Linked DNA regions of Bombyx mori. The protein of the gene in region 1 purifies or fractionates together with the protein of each later gene. This does not show direct contact. Links are inferred from orthologs where the notes say so. Each region holds a gene or a part of one and is shown in the gene's direction. Other genes may lie near its edges.

Region 1 (3,942 bases):
GCCCATAGACATCTACAACGTAAATGCGCCACCCACCTTGAGATATAAGTTGTAAGGTCTCAGTATAGTTACAACGGCTGCCCCACCCTTCAAACCGAAACGCATTACTGCTTCACGGCAGAAATAGGCAGGGCGGTGGTACCTACCCGCGCGGACTCCCAAGAGGTCCTACCACCAGTGATTACGCAAATTATAATTTTGCGGGTTTGATTTTTATTACACGATGTTATTCCTTCACCGTGGAAGTCAATCATGAACATTTGTTGAGTACGTATTTCATTAAAAAAAATATGGAGGGTAGAGGTAAGTAGAACCGTCTCTATGTGAAAAAGTATTCGTTAAAATCTGTTAGATAAGGGTGGCACTACATTAGCACCGAGGTAAATTTAAAAAAAGGCGCTAAAAGTTATTAGAATAAGATAGAGAAATAAGAAAGGGTGAAAGAACTGTAAGCAACACAAAATCACAAAAAGTATTTTATTTAAAGCTGCTAAGAAAATGCAATCGAAGTAACAGTAATCGACAGTAAAATTGTTAAGTTATATTATTGAAATTAGTTTGGACTACGTAAACATGTGAGGTCTTGTATATTACACTGTCACTAATTACTCTAGTCATTAAATATATTAAATTTTCAAACTCGGCATACTTCAATGAGTTAACAACTGCTCAATTCATATCATACCCTGTGCCTATGCTAGCGCCATTCTCGAGGATTTTTGAACTGTTATTTAGTGGTGAAAGTGGGACACTTTTTTGAAAGTTCTCCCATATGGATATGAGACGGTTCTCCTTACCTCTACCCTCCAGCTCAATGAATTTGGCACCCATTTTTTTTCCGATTTTTTTTATATTTAATTATTTGTTAAAGATAAAAATAAAGATATCTAGTAAGAGGGGCCCACTTAAGGGTGATCATTTGTTTAATTAATTATAAATTAATAAAAGACGAACAAACAATTTTTACAAACGACGAACAAATAATTAAAAATAAAAACAATCCGAAAATAAAAAAAAGGAGGCCAAATTCAGTGAGCCCTACCCTCCGTAGTATCATAGGTTTTAATCACTGAAGTAGGAAACCTAGGTCTATGGTTTTAATGCTTTTTTCTTGCTAGCCTGTGCTTGTCTTGTCACTGTCAACAGCACAGAATCATAGACTGACACAGGATTTAAGGTTGTCGACAACATAGATTAACATACATTTAATAAAAAAAACATTAAGCTAAAGAACACGAGAGTACTACAGATATTTGTTTATTGAATTAAAATTCAAGAAAAATTTCTGAGATTTGACTACTAGGACGATACACTGTTATTATAGTTTGTGAAGATAACTCAAAAGCAAAACGCCAGAGACACATTTTTGTATTCTTTTGGATTGTGTATAAGTTGAATCGTATTATTTAACTAGGCTTGTAGCTCTGCTGAAAATGTCGAAAAGTGATCCAGGTCCACTGCCCAGTAGGTGGTTGAATTGCCCGAGAAAGTGTACATCTTTAATAGCCCAATCGTTTTTAGCCTTTAAAACACCATTGGGCACAAAATTCAATGAAAAAGTGCCCGAAAAGTGTCGTTTTACGCCTAAAATGATTTTCGACTTCTCTAAAAGTATTAAGGTAAAAAGAGATTACTCAAGTTAATATAACAATTAAGACTAGTTAATTTTATATTTGCATAAAAATAACAATAATATCATAAATTAAATTTGAGACTCAAAAATATACGAATATATACGAGTCATTGTATCTCATAAAATTCATTTACAATTTTGTACACGCAACTTTTGAGCATGCGGTAACATTTTTCATATCGTCTAGAAAAAAAAATTGTTTTCTTTTAGAAAAAAATAGGTTTATGGATTGATCTCACAAATACAAGCAGATTTTACGATAAAGGGGAGATAGAGGAAATGGACTGTAAATATATGAAAATACAATGCAAAGGTCACGGAGAGGCACCGAGTGAAGACCAAATAAGGTTTGATGCAGTGTTATAATATTTATAATATACAATAATTATAAATTATACATTTCAGTCAATGTGAATAATAAATACAATAAGTATTCATTATGAAAAATTATAGACATTTGGTTAACAGATTGGATGTGAATTACAAAGTGAAAAATATATTTACAAGTTTGTTTGTTGTGTTTCATATAATCATTGACATATAATGGTGTTATGATGTGATGTTTAAAGAATCAAAATAACTAAATGCAAAAAAATAGATTTAAAAAAAATATCCCTGTTACTGGTTTAATGCCATGCTTCATGTAATTGGTACTTGTGTTAGAAAAGAGGAATACAGTGTGTTGATTAATAAAAATTAGTCTTATTTTGTTAGTGTTTGAAACCAGACAATGAAGTTAAAACGCCTTATTGGATTCAGGGTCTTCATACACACTGTCAAGAACTTTATGAAGAAAAAACCTCTTGAGCTCATAGCTGTTCACTGCACACATGGATTTAACAGAACCGGTTTCTTGATTGTGTCTTTCATGGTTCAAGAAATGGACTGTAGTATTGAAGCTGCCTTAAAAGAGTTTAATACAAAAAGGTAAATATATTTTATGGTCTTGCTTTCAATGAAATGTATGTGTTTTGAAAATAAAATTAATGTGTGTAAATTTTCATTAACCATTCTCAAATTACATCACAAAATTAATAGGAATAAGCTTGCATTTCCTTTGGCTCTAAATTGAGAAAATAAGAACTATGTTTTTTTTGATTGAGTAGCCTGTGAATGAGCATATGACCCACTAGGTGTTAAGTGGTTAGAAAAGCCCACAAACACCACTGCTGTTACTGCTAAGTACCTGCCCCTGGATTATTCAGTTTGCTGTGCTGTATTTATGTTTAAATCTCTTTGTTTTCAAGTAAAAATATAAAAAAAATATCATGGCCATTGAGAAGCCCGTGTGCATGTCTGCTTAAAATGATAGTAAAAAGAAATACAGCTTAAAGTTCACACAACTTGTATCAATGTAATCGTATTTAATTTTCAAGTCAGTGTCAAAGTAGTGGTATTCAGGTTATTGTTTGCTTGGGCTAAAAAAATTTGGCTTTGTTTGATTTGCAGACCTCCAGGAATATACAAGCAAGATTACCTCACTGAATTGTTCAAACTATATGGAGATGTTGAAGATACTCCAATGGCTCCTGCAAGACCTGACTGGTGCAATGGTAAGCACAAAAACAACGTAGGTGAAATAGGCCAGACAATCTCAATTAGATCAATTTCATTGTTCATGTGGTCAACACATTGTTGACTACTGCTGTATATAAAAAAATTACTAATGCTTACATTTTATTACTTCCACATCCAATTAAGAAATAATAGCCGGTGACATGATGTAAATTTTTAGGTAATATTGCTGGTCAATGATGTGTAAAGTGCTTTCAGAAAACCATAGACTGTCTCTTATGTATTGTATAATCATTGTCCCATCTATCACTAAACGCAACTGCTTCACTGTGATTGCCAATTAACAATTAGCATTGTGTCAGCCAATATGAATATATCTTATAAATTGATCCATTGTGCAATTAACCATGGAATTAATAATCTCAAATTACAGAAATAGAAGAAGAAGAATCTGATGATGACAACCCGAGTGCTACACAGGATACATCAGAGTAAGTTCTTGTTATTCCTTAGGTAAATTTTTATATTTATTAATATCTAGTCAAACCTGACCATATTCCGCTGTGATTGGTATACAAGAATAATAACTGTTTGTTAAAATTGTTCACGTCGGTCATTGGTCGTACTTGAACTTTCAGGTAGTAACTCTTGGTACGAACACATTCCATTGCCTCATAAAACTGGGTAGGGTACTTACTGCTGAAGCCAGTTACTAATAGGTCTTCTTAATTGCTATAGATGACTAATAGAGCTCACGAGCTACTTCCGTGTTATGAAGTTAGCGGTATGGTCTC
Region 2 (4,132 bases), about 14 Mb from region 1:
CGATTTACGAAGCATGCTTGATTATAGGAGAGAACTTAGAGTCAATACTTTTAGATCTGTTTTTTTTTGTTTGGTCTGATAAAACACAAAAGTAAGCCATCAGTTTTAGTAACATAATTATTCTGACAGGAACGCGAAAAGAGAAGTTTGTGGTTTTACTGTGAAACATCTCTATGACGAGTCGTCATGTGCAAGCAACAGTTTCTTAATATTAATGTTTTCTTTTTCATTATTCCACATGGATTTTCTGTCTTATAATATCCTTGCATCTATACCCATACAAAATTATATCAATGCTTTACATCTGCCAGCCTAGCCGTCCCGGAATGGAAATTTTTATATGCAAAATTTGTTAGATTTGGGATCAAATAAAGTAGCTCTTCTTCTAAAATTATAAAGCTTAGAATTTTCGGCGAATAAAAAGAAGTTTTTAAGTTGAACACAAAATAACGAAAACTTAAACTAGTGCAAGTTAAAAGAGTGCAAATTTTTTTGTGGATCAAATTTGAAGGCCCTTCTAAAACTCCATACATATACTCATTTAGCTTTAAAAACATATATTATGCGTGTAACTCACACGTGGTAGAAGTGAAATCTTCAAAAATTTTGGCTTCAAGTTAATGTAAAATTTCAGGGAGAGGATAATTATGTATGTTTTAAAATAGTAATGTTCATAGTGATACAAAGTTTGATATTTATTTTACACTTTATTCGTTTAAATTACATAGATTTATTCAATATGTATTAAGTACGAATATTAGGTACGAAGCAGAGCACAAAGAGAACCACGAATTTAAGAAACACTAATGCTACTTCATTTTCTCCCACGTTAAATCTTAAAAATTTAAGTGTCTGTCTCTTTCTACTATCGCTTTTTCTGTTCATCGACTTTCGAATCACAACGATGATAAAGAAGCTTTCACTTAAAAAAGACAATAACATTTTTTTTGCAATAGCAGTTTAAAACTGTTGGTGACAAACGTGTTGCGCACTTTACTCGTATTATTAGTTTATCAAGGTAACATGAACAAAAATAAGTTTGTGGAATAGAATTTTAAATAGACGTATTCCTACCGTTAGTACACCGAAATAAGGTCTAAAAGGAACATGACTGAATGATTTACATTTATAAAGAAAAAAATTATAGACATGGGATTAAAATGCAATGAGAGTTTTTTTTGTAAATTTGGCCTTAATTTATAGCAGAAAACAATTTTTTAATTAGAATTGCGTTTTATTTTAATCAGAAATGGTTTGAGAAGTGCAAAAAATAGGTACCTAGCATATTTTGTGGTTTTTTCTTCGCGGCGAGGGTAGATAATCAGTTAACCTAGGGCAGATTATCTATTTTCTCAATGGTCACACTATAAAAGTATAATCTATGGGTCACACTGTTTCGTGACGTTTGTTGCGTGTTCGTTTTAAAGAAATAAGTTTAGTAAATATTACCTAAATGGTTCGAATGCATTCGTTTTAAGTAGTAATGTCGGATTCGGAAGGTAGTAACTATTCGGGGAGTGGGTCCGAGGCAGGCAGTGCTGTATCAAAACAATCACATCGCAGCGCTGCATCGAATCGGTCGGCAAGATCGCGTTCTATCTCTCGATCAAGGTCCAGGTCGCGTTCTGGAAGCCGTAGCCCCTCTAGGACTCCATCCCGCTCACGATCTAGGTCTCGCTCTAGGTAAAATCCGGGTAGTCTAAGTAAATAATAAGTTTTCCGTGTATCTTTTCACTTGACTTTATGAGGGTTGTTTTGTTTCACAGAAGTCGTTCAGTAGGTTCAGATGCAAGTAAAAATAGAGATGATGAAGCCAAAGAAGCATCTGGCGATGAAGAAGTGGAGGTAACGCATAAATAACATTTAATATTGAAATTGTAGATAACTTTCTGTTTGGGCTATACAATATTTTATGAAACTGTATCAACAGGATGAACAAGAGCCCGAAGGTGAGGATTTGGTTGATTCTGAGGAGTATGAAGAAGACGAAGAAGAGGAGAGGCTGAGGAAGAAAAGAAAAAAGGACAGTCGTTATGGTGGATTCATTATTGACGAAGCTGAGGTATGCAATTGAAATTGGTTTTCATTTGTCTATGCTACGAAATTTGAGGTTAATATAAAAAACGAGATTACAAAGAAAAGTTTAAAGAAATTTTTTTTTTGTCATTTTCATATATAAAGTGTGATTAATTAATGCTACTTTTCATTTGATGTGGACTTTTCTGCATTATTGTATATATAATTTTACCACACACTGTATCCGTGAATAATGCAGATTAAAGCTGTGTTATTAGTTATAATTTAGCTAACTGTGACAATATAATTTAGAACATTGCTACATAGTGTGCCTGCCTATTCACACAAAAATCATAATTCAACATAAGCCTTAGAGCTAAGATGAACGATTGAAGATTTACTATTTCATAAACAGTGTTTTAAGTCACTGCTACTACTACTACTCTCTTACTACCTTAGTTGATTTTGGCCACGGCGACCACTTCAAACTCCGTTTATAACTGTCACAGTGTGATGTGGCTGTGCTGTGGCTAACATAGCCGATCATATTCCTATGTCAACTATTGTATGTTATTTTTGTTGCCATATATTGGCTGTCAAATTTCTGTATTACTGTTCAGGCCTCAAGCCCTGTAGGGCTCATAGACATCACAAATTGCACTCATTAGCTCAAAACTTCAATAAAATGAGTAATTGAAGATACTGTATCAAATAGTGAGTAATACGAGTAATAGTGAATAGTAAATCATATAGTGAGTTCTTGAAAGAGCATAAAAAGTACTAAGTATATAAAATAAATTGAAATAACTTTATCTTGTAGGTGGATGATGAAGTTGATGAAGATGACGAATGGGAAGAGGGAGCCCAAGAAATGGGTATTGTAGGAAATGAAGTAGATGAAATTGGGCCAACAGCTAGAGAAATTGAAGGTCGAAGAAGAGGCACTAACCTTTGGGATTCACAGAAAGAGGAGGAGATTGAAGAATATCTTCGAAATAAGTATGCAGATGAATCAGCAGCCCTCAGACACTTTGGTGAAGGTGGAGAAGAGATGTCTGATGAAATAACTCAGCAAACTCTACTACCCGGTATCAAGGATCCAAATTTGTGGATGGTCAGATGTAGGATTGGAGAAGAGAAGGCTACTGTTTTACTTTTGATGCGAAAATTTATTGCTTTCCAATTCTCGGAAGAACCTTTTTTGATAAAGTCAGTTGTAGCACCAGAAGGAGTCAAAGGCTATGTGTACATAGAGGCTTTCAAGCAGACACATGTTAAAAACATTATAGACAAAGTGGGAACCCTTAAGTCTGGAGTGTGGAAACAAGAAATGGTGCCTATTAAGGAAATGACTGATGTTCTCAGAGTAGTCAAAAAGCAATCAGGACTTAAACCGAAACAATGGGTCAGATTAAAACGAGGTTTATACAAAGATGATATTGCTCAAGTTGACTATGTAGACTTGGCACAGAATCAAGTGCATTTGAAACTACTTCCTAGAATAGATTATACAAGACTGAGAGGAGCTTTAAGAACAGTACAGAGCGATAGTGAAGCAGCAAAGCGAAAGAAAAAGAGAAGGCCTCCTGCTAAACCCTTTGATCCAGAGGCAATCCGAGCGATCGGTGGAGAAGTTACTTCCGATGGTGATTTCCTCATATTTGAGGGCAATAGGTACTCTAGGAAAGGATTTCTGTATAAAAACTTTACAATGTCGGCGATACTGTCAGAAGGTGTCAAGCCTTCACTTACAGAGTTGGAAAGATTTGAAGAGCAACCGGAAGGTATCGATATTGAGTTGGCTGCTCCCGCCAAGGACGACCCTGCCGGCTTGCATTCCTTCTCCATGGGTGACAATGTGGAAGTCTGTACTGGAGATCTTGCGAACTTGCAGGCCCGCATCACTGCTATCGACGGTTCGATGATCACTGTCATGCCAAAACACGATGGTCTTAAGGACCCAATTGTCTTCCATCCGAATGAGTTGCGCAAGTACTTCAAAATGGGTGATCACGTGAAAGTGGTGGCTGGGCGTTACGAGGGCGACACAGGCCTCATAGTGCGCGTCGAACCGCACAGGGTCGTGCTTGTTTCCGACCTCACCATGCACGAGCTT

What was found.
Region 2: the proteins of mRNA-capping enzyme (region 1) and transcription elongation factor SPT5 purify together in Homo sapiens (affinity purification with mass spectrometry; 3 studies listed by BioGRID and IntAct, with this or other methods). This does not show direct contact. The link is inferred for Bombyx mori from reciprocal best matches to the Homo sapiens genes RNGTT and SUPT5H.

Annotation. Positions count from the first base shown.
Region 1 is NC_085110.1:3,886,299-3,890,240, reverse strand, and holds the start of mRNA-capping enzyme, read left to right. Parts: upstream 1-1,126; 5' UTR 1,127-1,433; coding exon 1,434-1,619; intron 1,620-1,843; coding exon 1,844-1,980; intron 1,981-2,392; coding exon 2,393-2,560; intron 2,561-3,082; coding exon 3,083-3,186; intron 3,187-3,581; coding exon 3,582-3,639; intron 3,640-3,942.
Region 2 is NC_085110.1:18,085,782-18,089,913, reverse strand, and holds the start of transcription elongation factor SPT5, read left to right. Parts: upstream 1-1,323; 5' UTR 1,324-1,483; coding exon 1,484-1,683; intron 1,684-1,766; coding exon 1,767-1,845; intron 1,846-1,930; coding exon 1,931-2,062; intron 2,063-2,836; coding exon 2,837-4,132. UniProt on the Homo sapiens protein: Component of the DRB sensitivity-inducing factor complex (DSIF complex), which regulates mRNA processing and transcription elongation by RNA polymerase II.